Xenopus tropicalis: one gene and its partners. The protein of the gene in region 2 interacts with the protein of the main gene of each other region in a pairwise test. Links are inferred from orthologs where the notes say so. Each region holds a gene or a part of one and is shown on either strand. Other genes may lie near its edges.

Region 1 (4,773 bases), on a different chromosome or scaffold from region 2:
GTACATTATCCCTTATAATACATGAGTGATACTCAGAGTTCCCTGTATAACTCAGCCTGCAGCCTTGTGCCTTTATATGGGGGGCACAGAACCCCTCAGTGACTGCTAATATCCTTATCATTTACAGTAGGGGGTACATTATCCCTTATAATACATGAGTGATACTCAGAGTTCCCTGTATAACTCAGCAGTCACTGAGGGGTTCTGTGCCCATATAAAGGCACAAGGCTGCAGGCTGAGTTATACAGGGAACTCTGAGTATCACTCATGTATTATAAGGGATAATGTACCCCCTACTGTAAATGATAAGGATATTAGCAGTCACTGAGGGGTTCTGTGCCCATATAAAGGCACAAGGCTGCAGGCTAATATCCTTATCATTTACAGTAGGGGGTACATTATCCCTTATAATACATGAGTGATACTCAGAGTTCCCTGTATAACTCAGCCTGCAGCCTTGTGCCTTTATATGGGGGGCACAGAACCCCTCAGTGACTGCTAATATCCTTATCATTTACAGTAGGGGTACATTATCCCTTATAATACATGAGTGATACTCAGAGTTCCCTGTATAACTCAGCCTGCAGCCTTGTGCCTTTATATGGGGGGCACAGAACCCCTCAGTGACTGCTAATATCCTTATCATTTACAGTAGGGGGTACATTATCCCTTATAATACATGAGTGATACTGAGCTGTATACTGGGTGTAAGCTCACCCATAGCAACATTCTAAATCCAGAGGCAGGACTGAGAGCATTACTATTACAGTGCCAGCTGAAATACAAATGAACTAAGAGACATACGACATAACGTAAATTACCTTTACTGATGAAAGTAACATTTCATATCTTTGAAGCTGAACAATATGCAGCTTGTTATATTATACAAACTAGCAATGGATTAAGAGTTACAGTAACTTCTGCAAATCCAAGTCACCAGACAGATCCAGTCCTGGAATGTAATCAGCTTCATATCAAACTGCAGAGAGGTACAGTTCAGCACAGGATCATTTTGCCAAACACATGGCATTCACTGCTGGGATATTTTCTGGGGGTAAAAAAAAAACAAATGTAATGTTTGTATTAATTTGCCAAACCTTAGAAATTTGATGTACCATTCTCCTAAACAAGCCTCCCCCCCACCCGAATTTGGTTCTTTATGAACTATATCCAAACTTCTGCCCTACTGTATAACAGCCCTTCCACCCCCTCGTGCTAGTGGTGCCACTAATATACATGGACTTCTAATACAGAGACACTGTTAGTCCTCTCTCTCTATCTGTGCCCTGTTCTCTCTTCTTCCCTGTTAACTCTACTTTTGTTTAGACCTCATTTTTGTCTTTTTGGATTTATTTTCACCTCCACATTTGTCTCTCTACTCCCCGAACCCCCTTCCCCTCTCTCCTTCTGTCTCTCATCCTCTCTCCTTTCCTTTTCTATTCCCCCCCCCCCCAACTGTTTGGCGTTACTCCCCCCCATCCTCCCTCTTCTCCCCCTTCTATATTTCCCCTCTCCCCCATTTGTCTCTCTACTCCCCGAACCCCCTTTTCCCTTCCCCTCTCTCCTTTTGTCTCTCATCCCCTCTCCTTTCCTTTTCTATTCCCCCCCCCCAACTGTTTGGCCTTACTCCCCCCCATCCTCCCTCTTCTCCCCCTTCTATATTTCCCCTCCCCCATTTGTCTCTCTACTCCCCGAACCCCCTTCCCCTCTCTCCTTCTGTCTCTCATCCTCTCTCCTTTCCTTTTCTATTCCCCCCCCCCCAACTGTTTGGCCTTACTCCCCCCCATCCTCCCTCTTCTCCCCCCTCTATATTTCCCCTCTCCCCCCATTTGTCTCTCTACTCCCTGAACCCCTTCCCTTCCCCTCTCTCCTTCTGTCTCTCATCCTCTCTCCTTTCCTTTTCTATCCCCCCCCCCAACTGTTTGGCCTTACTCCCCCCATCCTCCCTCTTCTTCCCCCCTTCTATATTTCCCCTCTCCCCCCATTTGTCTCTCTACTCCCCTGAACCCCCTTTCCCTTCCCCTCTCTCCTTCTGTCTCTCATCCCTCTCTCCTTTCCTTTTCTACCCCCCCCCCCAAATGTTTGGCCTTACTCCCCCCCATCCTCCCTCTTCTCCCCCCTTCTATATTTCCCCTCTCCCCCCATTTGTCTCTCTACTCCCCGAACCCCCTTTCCCTTCCCCTCTCTCCTTCTGTCTCTCATCCTCTCTCCTTTCTTTCTACCCCCCCCCCAACTGTTTGGCCTTACTCCCCCCCATCCTCCCTCTTCTCCCCCCTTCTATATTTCCCCTCTCCCCCCATTTGTCTCTCTACTCCCCGAACCCCCTTTCCCTTCCCCTCTCTCCTTCTGTCTCTCATCCCCTCTCCATTCCTTTTCCTATCCCCCCCCCCCCAACTGTTTGGCCTTACTCCCCCCCATCCTCCCTCTTCTCCCCCCTTCTATATTTCCCCTCTCCCCCCATTTGTCTCTCTACTCCCCGAACCCCCTTTCCCTTCCCCTCTCTCCTTCTGTCTCTCATCCCCTCTCCATTCCTTTCCTATTTCCCCCCCCCTTTAGACCTATTCAGCATCTTATCTGCCCGGCATATGGGCACTAACTATGGCAGGTTTGATTTTTCCATCTGGACCATCTGCCTATACCCGCCATTTTAATTCGATTGTTTGCCCCTGAGCACACCATTGATATCTTCTGTTTTCCTGCTGGTAAAGCCCTACCAGGGCCGGAACTAGGGGTAGGAAAAAGAGGCACCTGCCTAGGGTGCAACAATTGGGGGGCGCCAAGCAGCAACCTCTCCTGCCTACCCCTAGCTTGCTCTCCCTTCACTTGCCCCCGCCGGTTGTCATAACACGGGCAAGGTGGCCGACCGGGTTGCCTAGGGCGCCCAGTCGGCTTGGCCCACCTCTGAGCCCTACCCCTATCATTCTGCAATCCATCCCATAACCCAGTGAGTGCTCAGTTCTTAGATAAACCAGCTGGGAAACTGGGTCAGTGATGTGACATAGAGAAGAGGCAGCAGGGAGGGTTGCCTGAATGGGTTCATACCTGTTAGGGCAGAGGGCAATACTGCACTTGAATAAACGCACAGCAGCGCTATAACTCTTAACCCGATCCAATAAAAAATGTTGTGTATGGTTAAAATGCACGTTGTATCCATCCAATGAACATACCGTCTGTAAGAAATCTATCTCCAGCCGCAGCGCTTCATACACAGCCTCAGAATCGTCACTGCTGTACGACTCCAGTTCTTTTTTCAGCCTGTGCACATAGAAAATCAGCGTTATATTGACTTGAAATAAGAATCGGAAACGACTGCTTTGTTTCTCATTGTAATTTCAAGATTCACCCGGTCCCTGATTTTCACCGTTGCTATGTTATCTCTGTGACCCAAGTCCCATTAGCTGGTTGCACAGATCCCCCCACTCACCATGGACTTACAGTAAAAGGAATAAGGGCTCATTTTGGTTATTAGCACCAACACTTATTAGAACATCTTTTGGCATTTACATAGCCCCCCCTTCTTGTCTGTACATCTTTACATGAGCCTTATGCAAGGGATGTAAGAGTTAAAGGGGTGGTGTAACTTTGAATTGACTTTTAGTAGAGAGTAACATTTGCAATTGGTCTTCATTTTTTATTAATTGAAGATTTTTAATTATTTGAATTTTTGATTAGCAGTTCTGTGAGGATCCTGATACAATAGCGACAGACACCTTGCAACTCGGTGTATGATTGGGCTATAAGTACAAAGTACCTTTGTGTTCAGTAGATCTACTGTTAAAGGAGAAGAAAAGGCATTTTACGGCCAATAGATTGGCCACAATAGTGCCACCTAGAATGCTATATTTATTCTACAGAAAGCTTTACCATACCTGAGTAACAGCCCTAGAAGCTCCCTCTGTTTAATATAGCAGCTGCCATTTTTTTGGAGGAGTCCCAAGCCGGACTGAGCTTTCAGAAGGAGCCGGCGCTACACATTAGAACTGCTTTCAGCTAACCTATTGTTTCTCCTACTCCCATGTAACTGGAGGAGTCCCAAGCCGGACTTGGATTTCTTACTATTGAGTGCTATTCTGATACCTACTGGGAGCTGCTATCTTGCTCCCTTCCATTGTTCTGCTGATTGGCTGTTGGGGGTGAGGGGGGGGGGATATCACTCCAACTTGCAGCGCAGCAGTAAAGTGTGCCTGAGTCTGAGCTTTCAGCCAGCGCTACACATTAGAACTGCTTTCAGCTAACCTATTGTTTCTCCTACTCCCATGTAACTGGAGGAGTCCCAAGCCGGACTTGGATTTCTTACTATTGAGTGCTATTCTGATACCTACTGGGAGCTGCTATCTTGCTCCCTTCCCATTGTTCTGCTGATTGGCTGCTGGGGGTGAGGGGGGGGGATATCACTCCAACTTGCAGCGCAGCAGTAAAGTGTGAGTGAAGTTTATCAGAGCACAGGTCACATGGCTGTGGCACCCTGGGAAATGAAGAATATGGCTAGCCCCATGGGAAAAACAGATTACAATGCAGGATTCTGCTGGAGAAGCTCTATTAACTGATGGGTTTTGTAACAATTATATTTTCCCATGACAGAAGGAGTAAGGGTTAGGGGGGGATAATGCAAGAGGAAGTAGGAAATATAAGTAAAATAAAATACTATTCTGCAGGGCTCAGACCCAGCTTTCCCCCCCCCCCCAAAAGTTGATATTATACAGCAGGAAGAGGCAACTGACGCTATTACAAACCCCTCACACACCATGAAATATATGGCTCGGAAGATTGATA
Region 2 (4,734 bases):
CCCAACGTTACCTCAAATTAAACCTCTCTAAAACTGAACTGGTTCTCTTTCCCCCATCCCACGCCCACATTGTTCCCGAGGTATCTATAACGGTTAACAATTCTACCATCACCCCATCTTCCCAGGCCCGGTGCCTTGGGGTTATCCTTGATTCTGCCCTGTCCTTCACTCCTCATATCCAATCACTTATCAAATCATGCCACTTTCACCTAAGAAATATCTCCAAAATCCGATCATTTATCCAAGATGCTGCCAAAATTCTTATTCACTCTCTTATAATATCTCGCCTGGACTACTGTAACTCCCTATTAATTGGCCTTCCCCTCCAAAGACTGTCCCCTCTCCAGTCCATAATGAATACTGCTGCCAGGCTCATACACCTCTCCAACCGCTCCTCCTCTGCCATGCCACTCTGCCAATCCCTGCACTGGCTTCCCCTACCATCCAGGATAAAACTCAAACTATTGACCCTCACATTTAAAGCAGTCCATAACTCTGCCCCACCCTACATCTCTGAACTTATCTCTAGGTACCATCCAACCCGCTTGTTACGCTCCTCTACTGACCTGCTCCTCAACTCCTCTCTCATTCCCTCCTCACACGCTCGCATTCAAGACTTTGCAAGGGCTGCCCCTTCTCTGGAATTCGCTCCCACAAACTGTCAGACTTTCTCCCAATCTCTCTGCCTTCAAGAGATCTCTAAAAACACATTTATTTAGAGAGGCTTACCCTAATCTAGCTTAGCAATACCCTGTGCCACACCTCTCACAACTCTGGTCATGCCCATTCCCACACCTTGTGTCTCAACCCTTTCTCCTTGTAGATTGTAAGCTCTTTTGGGCAGGGCTCTCTTCACCTCTTGTATCGGTTACTGATTGCTTTATATGTTACTCTGTATGTCCAATGTATGTAACCCACATATTGTACAGCGCTGCGGAATATGTTGGCGCTTTATAAATAAATGTTAATGTAATGTAATGTAATGTAATCCCCATAAATGATGAATGCTTTATCTATCTCCCTTGCAGAACAAAGCTGGCAATACAATGACAGTTCTTGTTGTTTGGTGAGGCCCCAAACTGTGTCTGATTTGGCTACCCAAGCTGTGGGCCCAGTCAGGCTGATCTGTTTGGCACAGTACTTGCCCAACTGAATTTTAAAACCTTCTCCAGTGACATTTGGCTGATAAGCTCCCAAGTTGGCAGCTTTTATCAGCCTACGTATGGCCAGCTTTAGTGGCACTTCTGTCTGTCCTTTACTCTAGCCATGGCAACTGATTTAGTAACAAAGCCTACCAAGAAATTTTACATGCTTGTACACACTATGAGTTAACGGTCTCATTTGCTCAGATACCTCCAGAGCCAGACTGGGATTCAAAATAGGCCCTGGCATTTCAAGTACACAGAGGCCCAACAGCCCCCACCAGCCCAATAAATAGTGACTGTCTATGGCATCTTACAGCAGCCCCCCTGGCATTTGCCAATATCCACTAAATGCCAGTCTGTGCCTGGATGCCTCCTATTATACAAACATCAAGCTTTTTAATTGCTGTTGTGCATGTTCCTATGTAGAGGGGTTGCTGGGGGTTTGAGCCTCTCCTGCCTTGATGTGAGGACCTGAAAGATTGCCTGGTGGGGTGGGGGGTCCTCAAATGTTATGCCATTGTTTCTTGGGGTTGCCAGATGAGGACTGTGGTGTGCTATTTGTTAACCAAAGTATATTCCATGTATTATATTAAACATATAATACATATTAAACCAGATAGTCTGAACAAATCCAGGGCTGTGGAGTCGGTAGATAAATTCTCCGACTCCTCAGTTTCTGATACTTCCGACTCTACGACTCCGACTCCTCTGTTTTTAATATGCTAATGTATTTTATGCATTCATACAGTCAATGAAAAGCATGCTTCATGGTCGCTCAACGTGTTCGTTTATGCACTGCGTGCATTGGGCTTTATTCTTATAGCAGAGAAGTAATTAATTATGACTGTTTGTGAATTGGGACATTTACACTTACTTTATTTATTTATTTTTTTCCCATTTAAATTTAGTAGGAGTCGGAGTCGGTTCATTTTTTGCCGACTCCAGGTACCCAAAATTGCCTCTGACTCCACAGCCCTGAACAAATCTCTAAATCCCAGACAAAACTTTGCAACTATGATCCCCAAATTGGACCAAGCTCTGCCAGTTACATTAATGCCCCACCCACTGAAGCAACTACCCCCCAAACCTCATTCCTCTGAATAGGGATCTGCCACTGATCTTCCGACATATTATATATTTCTGGAGAAAATACAAGTACCCGAAGGAAGGCACCATATATAAATAACATACTTGCAAGAGGTGACAGGGAAAGTGTTTGCGACGCCCCGCCCCTGAGGATCCAGTGGGCCCTACTCATACAGGCATACTGTGTGTATAAACACAAGGAATACATATAGCTTCCAGGAGATGTGAGTGGGAGCTGCCATGCTGAACCATCAAATCACTGCATAATCAAAGAACAAACTGGCCCCAAAGCTGAGTATGATGTAAGTGCTGTCCTATTAGATTCATTTCTAATTTTCCCTACAAGTATCAATTAAAAGAAGTCCATCAAGCTTGGAACTCTCACAGAAAGCAGTTCCAGTTGTCACTGAACTACTTCTCTCAGCCCCCCAATACCCTGATGTCAGGAGGTGGTATACCCAGTACCCGGCGGAACATAGTACCTACACCCTGCCATACAGGCGCCTATCTGTATAAATGTTACGTACAGGTGTATGATGTGTATGAGAGATTACTCACTATGCCTGGCAGGTCGGCGTATTTGGGGTCGGCCATGTCTTATACGTGAGATGACAGGAGGGGCCTGGGCGCGGCTCAATGCGGCAATGGGCCGGACGGAAGGAGCCAGACAGCCACACGCTCAACGGCTTCTATCAGGTCAGACGCTGTAGAAGTAGATGGAGAAGCACAAACGGCAGCCAGTGAGCGCCACAACAGATACCAGCGCCGGTACCGAGCGTGACAATCCGGCAATGATGGAAACCTCGCGAGATTGGAGCGCTTCACCTGACGTCACTTTGCTGTTGCATGACGGGAAATGTAGTTTCCGTTTGTTTTGTAGTGCGTTAGGGTTACACGCATTCTGACGCTTGTTTGGTCTGAGCCGCGCTGGCCGGATGTATATCTGGATGTGCTCCCATTTGGGTTGGGCCGGGCGTACAGCTATAGTTAGCGCAGTACTTCTATGTTTATTTGCTTATTGAATTGGACCTCTGTATAGGAAAGAAAACACGGATTTTACTCTTTTAATTAATACAGCTATGTTTAAAGGAGACATATTGGATAAATGGGAAAACCCTAATTTTGTAGGCAGTTATGAATAATATATGGCTGGTTTCCCTTTGGGCTAAACATTAATCCTATCTGTAACAATGGCCCCTTTATTGGAGCTCCCTATAGATCCTATCATTTGGCTGTCTGTGTTTCAAATGGAGAGTGGGTGTGTCCTAACAGTCCCTGCCGGAAGCACGGTAGGAGGGGGAGAGCCAATCACAGCCTTGCACTCACACAAGCAAAGCCAGGCTTCAGTTCCCTATCAGGTCAGCCTAGCTGCTGATTGGTTCCTATCCTACAGTGCAGGGTACTGAGGGCCGCCGGCTCCCCAGCTCATCCAGAGAATTCAGCCAACAGGAAGTGGAACAGATGGGCGGGGCTAGTGGGGTTTTGTGCAAATTTCTCAATAAATCAGTCCAAAACACAACTTTTTTAGCACAATCCTTCTATATCTAGGGGAGTAAATTCCCTGGTACATTGTTAATTTTTATAGGATATGTCTCCTTTAATGGAGAATTAAATGGATTTTTTTTTTATTGTAAGGTTGTCATGTGGTTGGTAATTTACCAGCGTGGTGGTGGTTAAAATGATATTTGATCTCAATGTTATTAATAGGGAAAGAAGATTAAAATATAGGAAGGCCGGGGTTTTTCTCAGAAAAGGTGGCAACCCTATGCAGAGGCCTCCCCCCTTACTCACTGTTCCTGTTATGCTTGCGCTTGTCACACATCTCAAATCTACCTTTTACGGAAGGCCAGTATGAATAATATATGTGCCTGATGTCACTCTGGCCTAAAAACTGATCATGGCACTTTTATTCCCCACTCTCTGTTTCCTCTGTATGGTTTAAAAGAGTAGTATTGTGTCTGCGATAGCCCAAAATAGGAGGTGGGTAGCCAATCAAGCTCTGCATTCATACAAGCAAATACAGTATGTAGTTTTATGTCCGGTCCACCTAAATACAATCCCTAAAAACTATTTGCCCCCTTCCTGATTTCTTATTCTTTTGCATGTTTGTCACACAAAATGTTTCTGCTCATCAAAAACCGTTAACTATTAGTCAAAGATAACATAATTGAACACAAAATGCAGTTTTTAAATGAAGGTTTACGTTATTAAGGGAGAAAAAAAACTCCAAATCTACATGGCCCTGTGTGAAAAAGTGATTGCCCCCCTTGTTAAAAAATAACTTAACTGTGGTTTATCAATTTCAATTTTCAATTTCAATATCAATTTCTGTAGTCACCCCCAGGCCTGATTACTGCCACACCTGTTTCAATCAAGAAATCACTTAAATAGGAGCTACCTGACACAGAGAAGTAGACCAAAAGCACCTCAAAAGCTAGACTTCATGCCAAGATCCAAAGAAATTCAGGAACAAATGAGAACAAAAGTAATTGAGATCTATCAG
Region 3 (4,602 bases), on a different chromosome or scaffold from region 2:
ATGAGGAAATCAGTTGTACAAAGCAGACTTTGCTCTCCAATAAAATTGCAGTAATTGCTCTGATCTTGCATTACCGAAACTACATTTTTCAGCGGCAGGAGGGGGTGGCCTGGTAAGGAATGTGACAGTGAGTCAGTCATAGAGAAGCATGGGAAAGGTGCAACGAACTGGCAATAGAAACCAAGGGTAGGGCAGGACCAGATTACAATTCCCTCTGAGCACCAATTGTTCCTTTGCTATAGTGATCAGGGGAAATGCAAGCACCGGGTTCTGCAATGTAGGTGTGGTAAAGGCATAATCTGCCAACAAAATGTGTAGGTGTATGGCAGCAGTTCTATAACTGTAAGGAACACAGGTGCAGCCTTTATAACTGCGGCTTTGGCATTTAAAACAACTTAGTCTTCAAAGTGCCACATTGATGTTGAAGATAAATGAGAATGTGGTTTTAGCCTTGGACATCCAACAGACATAGATCTGGTTTCATGTACTGTATATCTTAAATATAAAACAAAGTTGTGGCACGAGTTCAATGCCAAGGCAACTATACAAATTAAATGTAATGGAGAATGCTCAATAAAAGACTGTATTATGTCTGAGACTGTATAACAGTAAGGCATGGATTACTATGTGGACAGAACATTCCTGTGCTGCCGTTCTATATAAGAGCTGTCCCTGCCCATACAGAAAGTCTCCCCAGAGGCAACAGGAGCAATGCAACAACATCCTGTACACACTGCATTCACTGAGCTAGAAACTGGGACTGCTCCCGCTTGTACTTATGAGAAGTATGCAGAGAAGGAACATTCTGTGCATATAAGCTATGCCCTCATACTTTACGGGGAACAAATGGAAAGTAACCTATAATTATAAATGCATTTGGATATGGTGTTTACTTTTCTCCGTGCAGCAGTTCACCATAATAGGAGGAAGCATGACTATTTACCTGGGAATGTAATGACCAACATAGCACTATGGTATTACTAAACAATCAGTTATTCAGCATTCAAATAACAATAAGCAGGGTAAATTTAAAGGAGTGACAGTATCCCATTTACAAAGCCCCTCGTTATTGTCTTGGTATGCAAACAGCAGAACCCACCCAAGCCCCTCCTGGCAGACTCCACATGAGAGTGTTACCTACGTTGATTAGAATACAATGCAGATCAGCAGGTTCCCCAGGCTTGTCAGAGCCGCCCAGGATCTCAGCTAGCCGGCTCATGTTGCTCACTCTCAGGATGTTGATGTCATTCTCACAGCAAAATGCCTGGATCAGGGTGAAGTGGATCTGTAAAGCGATATCCTGATCGTAGGTATCGTCAGTAGCCAACAAACAGAGCACAACGTTGTCTGGGTCCCTGAGAAAACAAGAGGTGCAGAGAAAACATTTAAAGTCAGCCTCTTTTCAAACCCAGCGCAATATTGATTAGTAAACGCCATTAATGTATGTATATAAATCTGCGTTTCCAAACGCTAAGCTAAATGGAATTAATGGGGGCAATTCACCTTTGATCTAACTTTTTTTTTTGTCAGAGCATGCCTTATTCTTGCCAACTTTTCAAATACTCCTCATTTTTTACAATTAATTTCCCTTCCTACTCTTCTAGCTTGCAATTTAAAATGCTATCTTGTAATTGGGGGACACTGATCCCAGCAGCCAAAATCACTATTGCTCTGTAAACCTACAATGTTATTGTTGCTTTTATTACCTTTGTATTCCATTCATGCCTTCTCCTATTCATATTTCAGTCTCTCATTCAAACCACTGCCTGGTTGTCAAGGTAAATTGGACCCTAGCAACCAGAAAGCTGAGCAAACAGCTAAATACTTCAAAAACCACAAACAATAACAGATAAAGAGCCAATGCAAATAGTCTCAGAATATATTACTAAAACTTAATCTAAAAGGTAAACGCAGCCTTGATTTTTTTATTTTTAAGTTTGATTTGTGCACTGTGACAACCATAATGTTAAAGTTGACTTTAAGGGGAAGTAACAAAAAAAGCCTACATACACATTGAGAAGTTTTGCAGCTTCGTACACCCCAATAGTGATGGTCCTCTGCAGTTTGGCCTTGCAGAGCACTTCCTCCAGTGCGTTTCCCACTGACTCCATCCTGCAGAATAACACAAGAAACACTCATGAGCATCTGAGCAAAGCATGCAAATGTGACTCCTGAGCTATTCCCAACAGCATCCTAACCATGCATGAGTCAGGCACTATGTCTGAGTAAGTTCTGCAGCAACAGGCACTTAGAATACCTCTCAGGCACAGACATGTGCACACACACACACATTACATATAGCTACTTACAGAGAGTACATTTATCACAGATTTACACTTTTGAACAAAAACTCAGTCCCAAAGTGAGCCATTTGAAAGGCCATTGCAGAAGCCACTAAGGAGCACTGGGCTGTGCTGGATGCTGGGAGCTGAAGTCCTATACAAGCAGGAAGGCCACAGTTTAAAAGGAACAGAAGCCCAGGGGCAAGGGGCCATAGGGCGAATGCACCTCATGACAAAATGATCCCTGCTGCAGTAAGGGGCAACCGGGGCGGCTATGCTATTGGTCGTTGTAACAAAATGATTACATGGGCCGTTGTGATGTAGCACCCACCGACCCCAAGAGGAGGTGCAAGTGCCCACAGCGCAGATGGGTGCATGGAAGGCATCTGTTCACACCAAACTACCATTTTGCGCAATGCTTTTGGCTGACCCCACAAACCCCTTTCTGACCCAGGCAAGTCCTCGCAACAGCAGCAACACACGAACACAGACTGCCCCATCCGCACGAACACAGACTGCCCCATCCGCACTATAACCCGCTCTGTGGCGCAAGAGATCTTACTTTCCAATGCTCTGATCCCCAGACAGCTGCTCCTCCAGAGTCATATTATATTGCTGTACGGGTTGCACTGCTCCGTAGCGCTGCAGATTTGTAGTGGATTTTGCGGCCAGCAAGGCTCTTCCTGGGAACTAGAAAGTTTCACCTCAGTTCTCGGAACTGCTGCCTGATACAGTAGCGCGCCGCTGCCCCGTGTTCTCCAATTGCTGACTCTACACACTCTGCTCTCACGCCTTCTCTACCCGGCTTCATACGCATACACCCAACCAACCACAGCTCCCCTCATTTGCCTATCGCGATGCTGATTGGCTCATGTAAATCAGGCTGCCGGCCACAGACTTGACCTCTTCTGCTACTCTGGGAACCGAGAGTACAGCGAGTGCGGGGCGGGGCTTACTTAGCGGCCTGCCCTGTGATTGGCTCCATACAGTTACCAGGTGCTGAACATTGTGTAAATAACCCTTTCACTGCTGACAATATTGGAACCTTACCGACTGTTACAGAAAACTTTAACAATTGCATGTCTTTGTTTTAAAATAAAGGTATCATTTCAAACACATTACATTACAGAAGAAAATAAGCCTTGTTTGCCACAGTGAATGTAAGCGCTAGCTAGCCCTGTCCGGCCATTGCATTTGTAGTAGTGTTTAGCTGTAATAACGTGTACAATTATCTTTATAGATGCATTCAGCTGTCAAAGGGAAAACTTGCAAGGGACTATCTTTTCAGTCTTACATTTGTCTCATTAATGGTACAAAGCTTTCTTCACGTTATTTGTTCTTTTTCACTTTAAATGGTAAATTACGAATGATAACGTTTTATTGCTAGCATATTAGATATCACCTTACATGATAACTATCCCAATGGAGACTCACCCCACTGGGGGTCCTTATATAAGCATCTTTATATGACATCAATCTACCCCTACTGTTCAGGTATAACATTATAATGTCACAGCAAAGACCTGGAAAGCACTGGTCTGAGGCATCATTAAAAGAATACAGTGAAACCTCAATTTTACATACCCTTATTTCAAGGATTTTCCTGCATTTTACCTTTTTTTTGCATTTCAATGGGTGTTTTTTCCCTTTTTTAAATTGATTCCACAGATTTTGCTCCTGATGTTCCCATAAATGTCTTTGTCCTCTGTAATATTATTATTAGTAAAATTAAGAGGTTTATATAACTATAGAGATGCATACTTTGCTATGGTTCTGTCTGTAAACAGTAAATGCTAGTATAGCTGCAGCTCATACAGTCATGCACAAATCATTTATTGCTTTAGGTTGTGCATGTGACTGGCAGGGAGGTCTTGCAAATGCTGTCCCATAGTGTAACAGTAATGCTGCACTGCTTAACCCTTGTCATTAACACACTAAATGTTGTATTTCAAAGTAAAACTGCCCCCTGTGCTTATGTCCTTTAAGTACAATCATTGGTTTAACACATTTACCTGATTTTACATTTTCCAAATTCTAAGTTTTTTCCTGGTCCCCTGAAAAATGTAAGATGGGGTTCTACTGTATTAGCCTGCCAAGCTATTTTCGAAGTTCCTCAAGAGGCAACTTCGGGCTACTTCACAAAGGCAGAGCAATATTTCCCCACAAGACATACGTATTATTGCCAGACAGACATTAGATGTGCTTTTTATGCAGTGAAATAGAGAATGTCACCATTTCCCATATGGCTTACATGCTTTAATTGTTGAGTTCAGTGAAATATATTGGCATACATAGTTTTTTGCTTTAGTTTATTAATGGA

Evidence for each region.
Region 1: the proteins of dctn2 (region 2) and ccdc172 interact in binary tests that used the Homo sapiens proteins (3 or more experiments, as listed by UniProt). The two-hybrid records come from large-scale screens. The link is inferred for Xenopus tropicalis from reciprocal best matches to the Homo sapiens genes DCTN2 and CCDC172.
Region 3: the proteins of dctn2 (region 2) and gadd45a interact in binary tests that used the Homo sapiens proteins (3 or more experiments, as listed by UniProt). The link is inferred for Xenopus tropicalis from reciprocal best matches to the Homo sapiens genes DCTN2 and GADD45A.

What each region holds. Positions count from the first base shown.
Region 1 is NC_030683.2:4,859,074-4,863,846, reverse strand, and holds the end of ccdc172 (coiled-coil domain-containing protein 172), read right to left. Parts: intron 3,256-4,773; coding exon 3,168-3,255; intron 1,049-3,167; coding exon 1,031-1,048; 3' UTR 809-1,030; downstream 1-808.
Region 2 is NC_030678.2:140,663,658-140,668,391, forward strand, and holds the start of dctn2 (dynactin subunit 2), read right to left. Parts: upstream 3,014-4,734; 5' UTR 2,826-3,013; coding exon 2,790-2,825; intron 1-2,789. UniProt on the Homo sapiens protein: Part of the dynactin complex that activates the molecular motor dynein for ultra-processive transport along microtubules. In the dynactin soulder domain, binds the ACTR1A filament and acts as a molecular ruler to determine the length.
Region 3 is NC_030680.2:83,503,432-83,508,033, forward strand, and holds the start of gadd45a (growth arrest and DNA damage-inducible protein GADD45 alpha), read right to left. Parts: upstream 2,998-4,602; 5' UTR 2,889-2,997; coding exon 2,845-2,888; intron 2,113-2,844; coding exon 2,011-2,112; intron 1,356-2,010; coding exon 1,142-1,355; intron 1-1,141. UniProt on the Homo sapiens protein: In T-cells, functions as a regulator of p38 MAPKs by inhibiting p88 phosphorylation and activity.